Linked DNA regions of Macaca fascicularis. The protein of the gene in region 1 purifies or fractionates together with the protein of each later gene. This does not show direct contact. Links are inferred from orthologs where the notes say so. Each region holds a gene or a part of one and is shown in the gene's direction. Other genes may lie near its edges.

Region 1 (7,804 bases):
GGAATGAGACCAGCTTGGCCAACATGGTGAAACCCGTCTCTATTAAAAATACAAAAATTAGCTGGGTGTGGTGGTGGGCGTCTGAAATCCCAGCTACTTGGGAGGCTGACGCAGAAAAATCACTTGAACCCAGGAGGCGGAGGTTGCAGTGAGCCGAGATCGCACCATCGCACTCTAGCCTGGGTGACAAGAGCGAAACTCCATCTCTCTCTCTCACACAGACACACATACATACACACAAAGAGGCCAGGTTAGGCCAGGCACAGTGGCTCACACCTGTAATCCCAGCACTTTGGGAGGCAGAGGCAGGCGGGCCATCTGAGGTCAGGAGTTCCAGACCAGCCTGGCCAATGTGGTGAAACCCCATCTCTACTAAAAAATACACAAATTAGTCAGGCGTGGTGGCAGCACCTGTAATCCCAGCTACTTGGGAGGCTGAGGCAGGAGAATCGCCTGAAACTGGGAAGTGGAGGTTGCAGTGAGCTGAGATTGCGCCACTGCACTCCAGCCTGGGTGACAAAGCAAAAATCGTCTTAAAAAAAAAAAAAAGAGGCCAGGTTACCTGATGGTGAGAATGCATGGAGAGTGTGCAGTCTCAACAATTAAGAGATTTGCCTTACCTTCAAGCTTGTCCTGAGTGACTCTGCAAAAGCCTCTCTTTCCTCTTTATTAAAGTTAATCCAGGCTTCTATTGCCTCTGTTGGGTTCTGAGAACATGGAACTCCATCTGTGAGAGCCAGAGGAAAGGCATGGTCAATGACGATCCGAAAGAGAAATTCAGAGTAAGGGACTTTAAAAGATGTGAACTGCTTTATTAGACTACTGCTGGGCATGTGTATATATGTCCATGCATACATACACATATACATGAAATTAACCTGAAATTGCCTTTTTTTTGGGTGGGGGGCAGGGTCTCACCCTGTCGCTCAGGCAGGAATGCAATGGCACAATCACCATCACCGTAGCCTCAACCTCCTGGGCTCCAGCAATCCTGCTACAGCCTCCCAAGTAGCTGGGACTACAGGTGTGCACCACCACGCCTGGCTAATTTTCTTATTTTCTGTATAGACAAGGTCTCGCTATGTTGTCCACGCTGGTCTCAAATTCCTGGCATCAAGCGATCCTCCCTCCTTGGCCTCCCAAAATGCTGGGATTACAGGCATGAGCCATCATGCCTGGCATGCCTTGCTTTTTTTTTTAAAGTAGTCTCGTGTTACATGAGGCCTCAAAAAGTTGGGTAAAGACTCACAACTGTTCCTCTCCATGGAAATCTTTAGTAAAAGGCAAAATATTTAGACAATCTGAAGAAAAACCAGAATATGTGCCTTGCTTTTTTAAATCAAAATGGATGGCTCGATATGCTCCCATCTGCCACGGAAGCAACCTACTAAGCTATAGAGCTCACACTATTTTTTTTTTTTTGAGATGGAGTCTTGCTCTGTTGCCCAAGCTGAAGTGCAGTGGCATGATCTTGGCTTACTGCAACCTCTGCCTCCGGGTTCAAGTGATTCTCCTGCCTCAGCCTTCCCAATTAGCTGAGACTACAGGTGCCCACCACCACATCCAGCTAATTTTTGTATTTTTTTGTGGAGACGGGATTTCACTATGTTGGCCAGGGTGGTCTCGAACTCCTGACCTCAGGTGATCCGCCCACCTCGGCCTCCCAAAGTGTTGGGATTACAGGCGTGAGCCACCGTGCCTAGCCAACCTCACACCTTAAGTATGGTTATATCTCACTTGCAGGGTTAGGATTGTTTCCTGACGTTGGCCCATCACTAAAAAAGTTTTTAGTCTTAGATATCTTACCTCATCACCAATTTACATAGGTAATTAGACCCACCGGGACATCCAAAGTACAGGAGAAATTAGAGTATAATACAAATCACTCCTCAGTACTTTTGTGTGGTTAAGTGTTGTGCTTTAATTTTCCTGGCTTCTTCCTCTAACACACTGTGTCTCTGACAGCAATTACACTGAATCTCAACTCAATCTTTCTTAGCAGGTTATCTCAGTAAGAATGCAGGAATAATAATGTAAATTAACACCAGGAAGCATGAGGGTTCCTTTCTCCTAAACTAGAACATTCACTGAACATCACAGCCAAGTAACTTCGTATGCTGTGTCCCCTCCCTAAACTTACCCGAGATGATATCTGTGAGTAGGTGGTGAGGCAAGTGGAGAAATTCCTCTGTATTCTGCAGCTGGGCCAGGTGGGTCTTGGCACAGTGTTTGGCAGCAGTATAGAGCTCAGGATCACTGTGCCGATCTGCCAGCCACATCACCTGAAGGCAGTTTCCCACTTGCACTGTGCGGGCCAAAAACCGAGAGCATTCCTCAAAGAGAGATGTCAACTGATACATGTCTGACACCTCATAAATTTCCTGCAACTCCTCAGCTCGAAGTTTCACAGTCCCATGGTAGATATAATCAACCAGGAGCTGGAAAACAGACTCACTGACATCCTGCAGCACAATCACCCGGTTGTGGGCCTCCTTCAGGTTAGAAGTGAACATGGATCGGAAGAAGCAGCTCTGAGCTGAGAGGACCAGCCGATGGAGCTGAAACTCCCGGCCTTCCACCGAAATGGTGACATCAGCAAAGAGCTCCTCCTCTAGACACAGTTTCATGATGCCTTGAGCCACACGGCCTGAGTGTGACCGATCTTTGAAAGTATAGTTCACAAAGTAGTTCTCATCCATGGATGCTCCAGGCTCCTCTGGTGATTCCATGCTAGCCAACTTCTCTCTCTGCCAGCTGTCTGCAAAGCAACACCACCTTGAGTAACTTGCGGAATTCACAGCCATAATCTGTGAATCCAACTGTCCAACTCAGGGAGGGAAATGGAAGAAGTGACAGCAAAGTGGGTCCAGATTGGCCTTAGTCCTGGTCCTGTCCATGATGTCCCTGACGCTATCCTTTAACCAAACCTGGGTTCGTTCTCCCCAGTGGCACCACTCCGCTAATGAAATAAATCAAAGTTCCAACTCTGGGTGTTTTCCTGAGAAAACACGGAATAATTCCGTTCCATGATATTAACAAAAGACTTGGGATTTAGGTCAATATATGAAAGCAAAGGGCTGGGGGAGGCCTGTGACCGTAAAAGCCTTACTAACCAAATAACTGGGGCATAAAACTAGTGAAGTTCGGGGCAGCAGAGTCAGACAAAAAGGACCCCCCGCCCTGGCCTAGTGGCCAGGTCCTCTCCTTCCCCGCGCATGGAGTTAAGACGCTCCATATGAGGCCTAGCCTGGGATATACGTCAGTCTCACATTTGCTCTCTTCTGAGCTACTTTCCCCGCTCGCTCGAAAGACTCCCTAAGGCTGCGTCCCAGAACTCAAGTCCAGCCGCCCTCAGGCCGGGGCACTGGGAGGCCCATCGCCCTGTGCAATATCCCCGCTCCACCTGAAGTCGCCTGGGAAACCGTCGCCAGGGAAACCGTTCTTCCCACTCAGGCTCGCCCGCCCTCGTCAAAAGCTTGGCTGAGAGCGGGGGAGGGGTGTGTAGTGCAGAACCCAGAACGCCCGCCCCCTCCCCTCCTCTCACCCGTCTGGTTCTTCAGCGTCCTCGCCTTCTCTCCAGGCTTTGCCACACGGAGCTAGGACCACGCTCACCTTACGGTTTCCCTACCTGCCTGTCTCGCTTTCTCACCTGCGTTCCCTCCTTTCATCCCGGAGCCCGGAACCTCTGCTTCAGGCTCCACGTCCGCCCGGAAGAAGATCTGCTGCACACTTCCGCTTCCGGTCCGTGCCCTTGGGGCTCCGTCTCCTGCTGTCTTTCCGTCCGCTGCCTAGTCTGTGTCTGGGTAACATGGCGGCGGCAGCGACAGCTAGGCTGTGGTGGCGTGGAATCGTGGGGGCCGCGGCGCTGACGAGGGGTGAGAGGGGCAGCTAGCTGAGACCGGGGTCAGGCGCAGCGGCGTGCCCAGTGCAGAGAGCTCTTCAGGCCTCACCCCGCGCGTCTGTGCCTTTTATCTCCCTGTGCAGGGGCTGGGCGACCCTCAGTTCTGTTGCTGCCGGTGAGGCGGGAGAGCGCCGGGGCCGACACGCGCCGTGAGTATGTGCTGGCAGCGCTCTTCCCTGAACTGTCGGCGGGGCCCCCTAGGTGCCTGTCCTTGCCCTAGGATGCCCTTCCCTGCGTCTTCCTGGCAAATCTTGGAGACCTGACTGCGGTGGTCTTCACCCTGCGTGCAGAATCGAGCCCTCCCTGTACCCTTAGGCCTCTCTGTTATGGCCCTGATTGTCCCTTGTCCGTTTCAATGGTCCCCTTTTTGTCTGATTAAACTCTCAGCTCTTCGAAAGCAAGCAATGTGCCCTTTAGTCCTTAGAGCCCTGTAATAATAGTACCTCACGTTGAGTGCTTAATGTGTGCCTGGCACCTCGCTAAGCGTTTTAGTGAATGATCTTATTTCGTCCTCACAACAGCCTTATGGGGTAGGTAGTATCTTACTCTTCTTACTATAGATCAGGAAACAATCCAAAGAATTAAACTGCCCAGGGTCAGAGACCTAGTGAATGACAAAGTAGGCCTGCCTGCTGCCAGAGGCAGGAAAACCTAACCATCATTCCGTAGCTTGTGATGTGTGAGTGCTCAGTGGTTTAGGGTTGCATGAATGAGTATGTACATATGTTACAGTCAAGATGCACGCACTGGGAGTTAGGAGACCTAGCATTTCCCCTTTTCTTGGCCTCAGTTTTCTCATTGATACAAAAAAAAAAAAAAAAAGTAGGTTTCAAGGAGACAGTCTGTGAGGGCTCCTCAAGCCCTGAAGTTCTTATCTTGAGAACCTGGTATAAACTTACATGCTAAGAAGTTACAGAGAAGCAAAAGTTCTGGTTCCCATCCTCAAACAGCTCTTAGTCTGACAGGAGAACTGAGACTACTGCTTTAGCAGAAATGCAGGTAATGTGAGGGAAGAACTGTAGAGTAATTTTGAGAAGAGGTGAACACCCCAGCTGCTGTATTGAGTCTTTCTGAGGACTGTGTACTTAAGGTGGCACTTTCCCCAAGTTTTCATCACTCTATTCCCTGGAAGGGAAACCTTTCACATGCCCCTTTCTCAGGGTGCTGCAGGGAGCCTTTACTGGATTTGACATCCCTTACAAGCCCAAGAGACTGGATACAGGGCTGGCTTTTGCCTTCTCCATTTCTTTGTTAAATATGCTTTTTCCTTCCAGCCACTGTCAGACCACGGAATGATGTGGCCCACAAGCAGCTCTCAGCTTTTGGAGAGTATGTGGCTGAAATCTTGCCCAAGTATGTCCAACAAGTTCAGGTAATACGTACCACTGTTATTTGGGTCTGGGCCAAGAAAGAACCATGTTCTCAGAGCATGTGGGAGTGGGCAGACTGGTTTCAAAGAAACTACAGACTCCTCCATCCCAACCTTGGACTTTTCCCTCAGCATTAAGCCAGGTGACTCCAGCTGAAGTTAGCTGTTCCCTCAGTAGCTCTTTGTTCCCTCTCCCCTCCCTTCCATGTGTGCAGGTGTCCTGCTTCAATGAGTTAGAGGTCTGTATCCATCCTGATGGCATCATCCCAGTGCTGACTTTCCTCAGGGATCACACCAATGCACAGTTCAAATCCCTGGTTGACTTGACAGCAGTGGATGTCCCAACTCGGCAGAACCGTTTTGAGGTCAGTCGGGAGATTTGAGAAGGTTTGGGGGTAAGGGTATTAATTTCAGTTTGTAACAAACAATGGAGCATAGCAGTTAAACTGGGACTTCAGAGTCAAGTAGATCTCAAGTTTGGATCTTGGTTCTGCCACTAAACGGCCATGGGACCTCAGATAACTCAAATATTTTGTTTAAACTTTCTTTTTTTTTTGACCGAATCTTGCTCTGTCGCCAGGCTGGAGTGCAGTGGCGTGATCTTGGCTCACTGCAACCTCCGCTTCCTGGGTTCAAGCTATTCCCCTGCCTCAGCCCCCTGAGTAGCAGGGACTACAGGTGCATGCCACCACACCTGGCTAATTTTATGTATTTTTTTTAATAGAGACGGGGTTTCACCATGTTGGCCAGGATGGTCTCGATTTCCTGACCTCGTGATCTGCCTGCCTTGGGTTCCCAAAGTGCTGGGATTACAGGCGTGAACCACGGTGCCTGGCCCTTGTTTAATCTTTCTGAGCTTTCATTTTCTTATCTGGAAAATAAATATAAAGCTGCCCCTATCTTATAGAATGGTTGTGAGGATCCAATGAGATAGTTCAAGTAAATTGTTAGCACACAATAAGTTTTCAATACATTTAGCTATTAATATTTTACTGATTATCTACTGTTTGCTAGACTCTGGGATGGAGAGAGAAATAACATGAAGTATTTGTCCTCCAAGAGTCCCCCACACTCTAGCGAAGGAGAAAGACACCTAAACAGCTTACTGTAGTAACATATAATACAAAGGATATTAGGGGGATGCTTTAAGAAAGCAGGAGGGGCACTTGGCCCTGTCTGGGAGGCTTCTTTGAAGACAGAAAATGTTTGTGCTGAATCTTAACACATGAGCAGGAGACCAGGAATTAGCCTTGTGAGGTGGACCAGGGAAATATTCCTGACAAAGGGAATAGTATGAACAAACACAGGCATGCTGACATGCTAAGCTAGAGCTGTGGCCTGGGCCTTTGGAAGTAGTTGTAAGCATAGGAGAATCTTGAGGATTTGAGGTTCAGAATAGAAAGCAGGGTCACAGGGCAGAACTCTCCCAACCAGGGACTCCCATCTCATCCCTCCAGATGCTTCTGTTCTCCCTAGATTGTCTACAACTTGCTGTCTCTGCGCTTCAACTCACGGATCCGTGTGAAGACCTACACAGATGAGCTGACGCCCATTGAGTCCGCTATGTCTGTGTTCAAGGCAGCCAACTGGTATGAAAGGGAGGTGAGTTACCGGATATGGTGGACCTGCCTCTGGGCCAGAGTTACAGAACTGGTTGAGACTATGGGATGCCATATAGCCCCTTCCCCTGTTGTTGGTCTTGATGGATTGGCTGTTTGAGGGAGTCTCTTTCCTAGATCTGGGACATGTTTGGAGTCTTCTTTGCTAACCACCCTGATCTAAGAAGGATCCTGACGGATTATGGCTTCGAGGGACATCCTTTCCGGAAAGACTTTCCTCTATCTGGCTACGTTGAGGTAGGAGCCTTGGAACTGGGACAACAGTCTCAGGGAGGGACTTGCAGGGAACTCAGGGGATCCCTGGGAATGGCAGGAAATGTGGTCTGTGGATTGTGGTGGTTTAAGAGCATGGGCCCTGGATTCAGATCCTAGTTTCATTTTTGTAACTTGGGGCAAGTTACTTGGTTTGACTGACTCAGCTTTCTCATCTTAAAATGGCAATAATAATAGCACTTAACTAATAGATTTGTGGCAGGCATTAAATAATGTATGTGTAGGCTCACGCCTGTAATCCCAGCACTTTGGGAGACAGGAGTAGTGCTCGAGTCCAGGAGTTCGAGAACAGCCTGGACAGCATGGTGAAACCTCATCTCTACAAAAAAATAGAAAAATTAACGGGGCATGGTGGTACATGCCCGTGGTCCTGGCTGCTCAAGAGGCTGAGGTGGGAGGATCACTTGAGCCTAGGAGGCAGAGGTTGCAGTGAGCCAAGATCACGCCACTGCTCTCCAGCCTGGGTGACAGAGTGAGACCCTATCTCTAAATAAATAAATGCTGTATGAAGCCTGCTGTATTGTAAAGGCTCAATTGATGCTATGTGTGTGTGTGTGTCAGGGTCTCACTCTGTCACCCAGGATGCAGTGCAGTGGTGCGATCACGGCTCACTGCAGTCTCCACCTCCAGGCTCAAGTAATC
Region 2 (7,957 bases), on another chromosome or scaffold:
ACAGGCATGAGCCACCATGCCTGGCCCCGGGAATATTTCATCAGAGATAATACTTGACAGGGTAGGATTCTGAAAGAAATGGGAAGGAAATGCCAACATCGAAATTATGCATTGGAGAGCCATGATTAATGCCTCCAGCCCTAAGATGGCAAGGTAATGTTGTTCCCAAGTATAAACCCACATCACTTTCCTTTGGTGTGTTTTACTCCTACTGTTGCCTCCTTTCCCTTTACATTCTCCCACTCCATGCACAAACACACTCACCATGAGGGCTCAGGGTAGGTAGTTGGGCTCCATGCAGTCAAATTGGACTCCACGTTAACAAAACTAACAATTCGAGCTTTCCAGCAATGAACTCATCTGCTCTTCCATGTCTACTCTTCCTGTCTGCTGGTTTCCACTTCCAGGGCTTTCAATGTGTTCTACACAGAAACCAGTTCAAGGACTGGGTTTTCTTCTGCAATAAAATGCTAGAGCTGTGGCAGAGACCTCCACTGTGAGAGCAGCCATGGAATTGGCTAGGAAGTGACATGATGTGGAAGTGGTAGATGTGTCCACAAGATGGCACTCCTAATTTGTAGTTTAATGCTTAATAGGACCTTTTGCAATGGACAAATGGGATTTTATGATTTATGTAGCTGGTGTCATGAATTATGTTTCAAATCCTGCCACATTTTGAACAATTTATTTTTGCCCCTTTCCAATATTGGGTCATAACCTAAGAATGAAAGGACATTATAAGCAGGGGTGTGTGTGTGTGTGTGTGCACTTGATCGTGGAGACTCGTGTGTTCCTCCTACCTTACCTGAACTGTTGAATGAAGTTACAATGACTGGACTCAGGGTCGCAGCTAACTTGGGAAATGGGATTTTGAAGTACTGGAAACAGCTTTGTATGCCATGTTAATGAACTTGAACTTTATCCTGAAAAACGTGGCTGTCGCAGGTGGCTTGATCACAGCACTGCTTCCCAAATTTCACTCAATGGTACCTGTATAATACATTCTTGATTTTTGCTGTATATCCGTATCATCAAGTTACTTAACGTTTTTACACCAACTTTTATTATTTTATTAATGTACTTAAAGAGGAAATTCACTAGTAGCATTGCTTGTCTTAATCAAAATAAATATATTATTAAAATGGAACAGTGCTAAATAAGATGTACACATGGACATAGAGTGTGGAATGACAGACACTGGAGATTCCGAAAGGTGGAGGGGTGGGAGAGAGGTGACGATGAGAAAGTACTTAATGGGCACCATGTACATTATTTGGGTGATGGGTAAACTAAAAGCCCAGACTTCACCATTACTGCAATATATCCACATAACATAACTGTACTTGCGCCCCTTAAATTTATACAAATTTTTAAAAGGAAAAAAATGGAAGTGTTCATCTATGTACCAACTTAAAATCATCTCATGCACCACTAGTGTTAAGTCTACCACACGTGGGGAAACTGTATGGTATGAATTGGGTTGAGGGTGTCCCCAACAGGCACAGAAATTGGGTTGGTGCCAGGTTTTTAATGCCCGGACCTTAAATCGTTAGACAGCCCGAGTCCGTTGTAGGCCTGGAGCAATTCAGACACAAGGCAAAAAGGACATAAATTTGCCTATGCCTTGTAACGTCTACACCACCAGCCTTTCTGAAACTATTGTGCATACGAAATCATCTCAGGATCTTGTAAAAACACCGATTCGGATCCAGTATGGGACCTGGAGTTTATACATTTCTAATCAACTCCCAAATGATATTGATGCTGATACTGTCGGTTTCCCAACGAAGCAACGTAGCAAGGTACGAAACTCTTAAGTCCCTAAAGGGCAGGGACCACGTCTCCCGCGTTAGCACAGTGCCTGGCCCAAGGCACTTTATGGGTTAACACTCGCTGAGGACCGGAGTGAACGCGCCCCCATATCGTCACGTGACTGCCTTTCTCCAACAGCCGGTTTCGGCTCACATAACACACCTACTGTCCAAAACATTTCTATTTTTCTCACACAAAAACTACAGTTAAGTTTTTATATTCTATGTAGCCCCAGCCTAGGACGTAAGATCCACGAGACCAGAGACCTTGTGATGATTCCCCCAGGTTGCTGACCCTCCCGGTGTGTCCCGGGCCTGCTCTGGGGGACACAGCGGCGAATATGCTGAACAAGGCCCCTGTTTCACGGAGCTAAAGATCCAGTAAGGACTTCACCCAGCAAGAGGCAACTACGCTGGGCTTCGATGCCCAGTACCTCTGCAGAAAGGCGGAATGGCAGGAGTCTCCTAAAGTCCCCAATGTCCAAGGACGCGGAAACCCAGGGCCCCCAGTGCAGGTGTCAGTCCGAGGGGCGCCTGCGCAGTCCCAAGAGAGGCGCGTCCCATTGGACAATCCCGAGCGGAAGAGCCCAAGGTAGCGGGGGGAGTTGTGACGGGCCGCTGCAGACGTACTTAGAAAAGGGGTGCATACTGGGTATTCAGGCCAGGAGAAGAACGCAATAAGCAGTGACGTACATTATCTTCTGCATATTTACTTGGGAAATTGTGTGTCTCCCTATTCTGAGTCTTGGAGGAATTGGACTGGTCCAACCTTCTGCAGGGAGCAGTAGAGCGCGGCAGTATAGAGAGTACCCCTCACGAAGGGGACGTGGGAAAGAGGTGGCGGGGAACGCTGGGAAACTCGCGGCCTCCGCCACCATCTTGCTTTCCTTAATCTGGTAGGACCGTGTGTCAGAACAATCTTGAATCATGAAGCTACTAACCAGAGCCGGGTCCTTCTCGGTGAGCTCAAGTGGCGGGTTTGGGGAAGGGCTGGGGAGCAGTGTGTCGGCAAGGTGATACGAGGCGGAGGTGTCTGGTCTGGGGTCTGGGCCTTGGGATTCGGTCTGCCCTTCAGCTGAACCCTGCGGGCCAAGCGGGCTGCAGACTGGGTCAGGCTTTGGAGGCCCAGCTCATTCTGTGAGCAGAAGAGACCTAACACCGGGAAACCTGAAGAGAGGGGCAGGACGTGAGAGCGGAGTTGAAGCGACTCCCTGGAGAGACTTATGAAGGTCATTCCGGCACTCAAGTGCTGGAGAACGAGACCGCGAAACCCAGAGGGAGGGGGAGGACGGCACAGCCTTAGCCCCCAACCTTCACTTTATCCGCTGCAGCCTCTGCTCCTTGGTTTATCACGGAGCATCAGTTTCCCCAGCGAATAAAAGCAAAAGAAAGGAGCTCGTGCAGATATAACACTTATCACAGTGCCTGGAACGTCATTCATTGTTAGTTACTACGGTGTCTTAGTAGTCTAACGTTGCTTTTCTTGATCGTATGTTAGACGGTTCCTCCAAGACGTCTCCGTCCTCAGAAGCTCCTTCCTTAAGTTTCCCCTTCAAACCTAAATTAAACATAGCTGTCACTTGGGGAAAACTCACACATTAGGGTTATATCACGATGGGGCAGTGGTTATTAAGCGGGGTAACGGGGAACACTTTTTAAAAAAATATATAGCGAGGGACAGTATGCCCCCAGGGAACCGGTGGCGATGTCTGGAGACGTATTTAGTTGCAACAACTTGTCAAGAGGGTGATATTGGCATCGAGAGGCCAGGGACGCTGCTAAACTTACCCCTACAACAAAGAATTATCTAGCCCCAAGTGCCAGTAGTAGTACCTGTGTTGAGAAACCCTCCTAAGATGGAGATGCAAAAGACCAGACCTGGGCATGGAATGTTCTTATGCTTTATGTTTACGTGAATGTGCTGTGGGCTGTACCAATTTAAGCTGTAACTGCATTAACCTTCCTGCTATACCTAGACACACCAGTGATTACCCTTTGAGGGAAGCATGGTTAGATTGGTAAAAGACCCCAAAATGTCCTTCTCCATTCTATTTTACAATAGAAAAAGCTCAGAGAAAACAGTTGGAGAGGCCCAAAGTAAACAAATTGCAGTAAACTTGAAAGCAGTTATTTATGTTTCTAATTTTAGCATTTTATATAGGAGAATAAGCTTGATATATCTTGTTATTAGAACAAAATAAATTAGTAATTGCATGACAGTTACTAGGATAATTTGCTGATTTGAATGGGACGATTAAGAAGCACGTTTACCGGTCTGGCGCGATGGCTCACACCTGTAATCTTAGCCCTTTGGGAGGCGGAGGCAGGCGAATCAGTTGAGATCAGGAGTTCGAAACCAGTCTGGCCAACTTGTTGAAACCCCATCTATACTAAAAATACAAAAAAAAAAAAAAAAAAAAAAAATTAGCCGGGCGTGGTGGCGGAAGCCTCTAATCCCAGCTACTCGGGAGGCTGAGGCAGGAGAATCTCTTGAACCCGGGAGGCAGAGGTTGCGGTGAGCAGAAATCGTGCCACTTGCGCTCTAGGCGACAGAGCGAGACTCCATCTCAAAAAAAAAAAAAATATATATATATATCTCCCCAACAAAGTGTCACTATTTGGGCACATTTGGTTGGAAAACACCTAAAGTCTCACTTGGTAGCGGAACTATAGATTATTCATGTTTGAATTGCTATGCCCGTATACCTTAAAGTTTACTTTTTGGAAAATCATAGGTGAAAATTACAAAGAAGGTTAACTATACCATACCCAGCGAACTAAATTGATGATGATAAAGCAAAGCTAATTGTAATTCATAACTGAAAAGCAGTACTAAAAGCAAATGATAACCAGCAGCCAACCTAGTACAGCACTAGTGCTGGATGTACAACAAAGAGCCTTCTGGACAGCACAGAGTGGAGTCCTTGCAGCCTGTGCGGGGATGTCTGGGAAACTCCAGCGACGTGTTCATTGGGTCTTGGGAGCACCAGGTTTTATTCACTCATCATCTCCTCGGATAACCTCATGAACTTTAGTCATAATCAGAATGATTTTTATGGCATCGTATAACATTTGCCCAAACAAACTGAATAAAATGAGTGCATTTTGGGTCCATTATCTAATATTTAATGGGACCCTTTTACCCTACCAGTAACTGCATTTTATATATTGAGAATCCGCCGTGGATGAAGCCATTGTTAACCTAAGGATGACGTACATGTCATAAATGTTTTATTTAGTCAAAAAAGGTAAGACGTTTGGTTGTGTGGTCTTAATGCAGCACATGAGAGTGAAGATACAATGAAAAATATTGAGGACTTGGAGGAAGTTGCTATATACTTTGTCTTTTGTTTTCTTTTCTTTTGTTTTCTTTTCTTTCGAGTTTTGCTCTTGTTGCCCAGGCTGGACTGCAATGGTGCAATCTTGGCTCACTGCAACCTCCGCCTCCCGGGTTTAAGTGATTCTTCTGCCTCAGCCTCCCCAGTAGTTGGGATTACAGGCGTGCGTCACCATGCCCTGCTAATTTTGTATTTTTAGTAGAGACCGGGTTGCTCCATGTTGGTCAGACTAGTCTCGAACCCCCGACCTCAGGTGACCCGCCCACCTCGGCCTCCCAAAGTGCTGGGATTACAGGTGTGAGCCACCGCGCCCAGCTGCTTTGTCTTTTTAAAGGTTACTAAGACTATTAAGGAGATGAAACCATTTCAGTTGGAAAATAGACTGAAGGGGTGAGATTCATTGGGCAGATAAAAGAAGCAAGAAGCTGAAACCTATAAAAGGTTGTGGAGGCAGGCTGGGTGTGGTGACTCCCACCTGGAATCCTAGCACTTTGGAAGGCCGAGGTGGGTGGATTGCCTGAGCTCAGGAGTTGGAGACCAGCCTGAGCTACATGGTGAAATGCCGTCTCTACTAAAATACAAAAAATTAGCCAGGTGTGGCAGCATGTGCCTGTAATCCCAGCTACTTGGGAGCTACGACAGGAGAATTGCTTGAATCCGGGTGGCGGACATTGCAATGACCCGAGATTGCGCCCTTGCACTCCAGCCTGGCACACAGAGCATGACTTGGTCTCAAAAAAAAAAAAAAAAAAAAAAAAGGTTGTGGATGGGGCGATCTGACACTTTTCCAAAAAATGCCAAAGCTTTAGAGCTACAAAGAATGATGAAACTTTTATAAGGTAACTGAAAGTTAAGAAAATACAGCGATTCTTTACATCATAAACAAATAAGCATCAGGAACTCTATAAATCACTAATAAATAGAGGTTTAAGAATAGCTCGGGTAAACTGGTGGGTTAATAAGTTATGCAGCTAGGCGGGGTGCAGTGGCTCATGCCTGTAATCCCAACACTTTGGGAGGCCAAGGCAGGCGGATCACTTAAGATCAGGAGTTCGAGACCAGCTTGGCCAACACAGTGAAACCCCATCTCTACTAAAAAATACAAAAACAAAAACTAGCTGGACATGATGGCACACACCTGTAGTTCCAGCTACTTGGGAGGCTAAGGCAGGAGAATGGCTTGAACCCAGGAGTTGGAGGTTGCAATGAGCCGAGATTGCACCACTGCACTCCAGCCTTAGTGACAGAGGGACATTCTGTCTCAAAAAAAAAAAAAAAATGTTATGCAGCTAAATCCTCCCATGGAGGTGGTTATTGCTCCTTTTACCCCTGAACACCCTCTGTTGCTTGGGTACCCTAAGGTACCATGCTTTTATATAAAGCACTGTTCTTGTAAGAAATGTGTGTGACCTGTGTTTTTTGTGTTTAGAGATTTTATTCCCTCAAAGTTGCCCCCAAAGTTAAAGCCACAGCTGCGCCTGCAGGAGCACCGCCACAGCCTCAGGACCTTGAGGTTAGTCCCACTAACTTGCTCGCTAGAACCCATACATGCCTTACTCTCTTTGGTAATATGAGGACATTCATTATATCTCTACTTTATTTTAAATACAGTTTACCAAGTTACCAAATGGCTTGGTGATTGCTTCTTTGGAAAACTATGCTCCTCTATCAAGAATTGGTTTGTTCATTAAAGCAGGCAGTAGATATGAGGACTCCAACAATTTAGGAACCACCCATTTGCTGAGACTTGCATCCAGTCTGGTAAGTATCTTCATTACCTCAAGTGTTTGGAAATGCTGTGGTATCTTGGTCCTGTGTAAAAGAAAAACTAAAATCAAAGGCTTTATATTTGCTTCCTTGACCTGCCGTAACAAATTACCACAGACTGGGTAGCTTAAACCAAATAAATTTATCCTGTCACAGTTCTAGAGGCTGGAAGTCAAAGTCAAGGTATCTAAGCCAAGCCAAGATATCAGCAGGGCTGTGATCCCTCTAAAGGTTCTAGGAAGGCACAAATCCTCCCCTGCCTGTTCCTAGCTTCCAGCAGTTGCCCACAACCCTTCACATTCCTTGACCTGCAGCTGCATCACTGCAGTCTCTGCCTTTGTTGTCACATGGGCTTCCTTCTGTCTGTGTCCACATTTCCTCCTAATGAGGATACCATTTATATTAGATTTAGTGCCCACCATAATCCAATATGGTGTCATCTTAAGTACTTAAATCTGCAGAGACCTTATTACCAAATAAAGTAACATGCAAACATTCTGGCTGGACATAAATTTAGGGGGGAACACTGTTTAACCCAGTACAGTCCCTTAATGTAAAATGAGAAACCACAACATATTTGCTGCAGAGAAGCACTAAATTAGTATCCATATGAACATTGATATTAGAGCATAAGAAGTCAGTAAACAAAATTTTAAAACGAAGTGCCATAAATTGAAAGAAAATTAACTTTTTTTTCCCATATGCAAGTCTCTTTCAGAATAGACTAATGAATCCAGTAAGCTTGTGTTTGACAGTGGAAATTTTATATGAATGTACTTAATATAAAAATCTATGCTTAAGCTTTTTGTTGAGCCTTGTTTTATAATTCTTAACTAAAAAGGATGCAGGAATTTAGTAAAATTCTTTTTAAATCTGCTCATGACAGTTAGACAACAGATTTTGACATAGTGTGATGTTTAGCAAACTTGGCATTGAAAAACTACAAAGATAATCATTCTTTTCTTTTTCAAGACGACAAAAGGAGCTTCATCTTTCAAGATAACCCATGGAATTGAAGCAGTTGGTGGCAAATTAAGGTTT

The links. The genes of interacting proteins can lie anywhere in the genome.
Region 2: the proteins of NDUFS3 (region 1) and UQCRC2 fractionate together in Homo sapiens (co-fractionation; 3 studies listed by BioGRID and IntAct, with this or other methods). This does not show direct contact. The link is inferred for Macaca fascicularis from reciprocal best matches to the Homo sapiens genes NDUFS3 and UQCRC2.

Annotation. Positions count from the first base shown.
Region 1 is NC_088388.1:18,257,574-18,265,377, reverse strand, and holds the start of NDUFS3 (NADH dehydrogenase [ubiquinone] iron-sulfur protein 3, mitochondrial), read left to right. Parts: upstream 1-3,790; 5' UTR 3,791-3,808; coding exon 3,809-3,875; intron 3,876-3,984; coding exon 3,985-4,050; intron 4,051-5,175; coding exon 5,176-5,273; intron 5,274-5,485; coding exon 5,486-5,635; intron 5,636-6,746; coding exon 6,747-6,872; intron 6,873-7,006; coding exon 7,007-7,126; intron 7,127-7,804. Other genes in the region: KBTBD4 (kelch repeat and BTB domain-containing protein 4), read right to left, coding at 621-727, 2,141-2,804.
Region 2 is NC_088394.1:20,932,073-20,940,029, forward strand, and holds the start of UQCRC2 (cytochrome b-c1 complex subunit 2, mitochondrial), read left to right. Parts: upstream 1-2,663; 5' UTR 2,664-2,738; coding exon 2,739-2,771; intron 2,772-6,578; coding exon 6,579-6,662; intron 6,663-6,760; coding exon 6,761-6,910; intron 6,911-7,888; coding exon 7,889-7,953; intron 7,954-7,957. UniProt on the Homo sapiens protein: Component of the ubiquinol-cytochrome c oxidoreductase, a multisubunit transmembrane complex that is part of the mitochondrial electron transport chain which drives oxidative phosphorylation.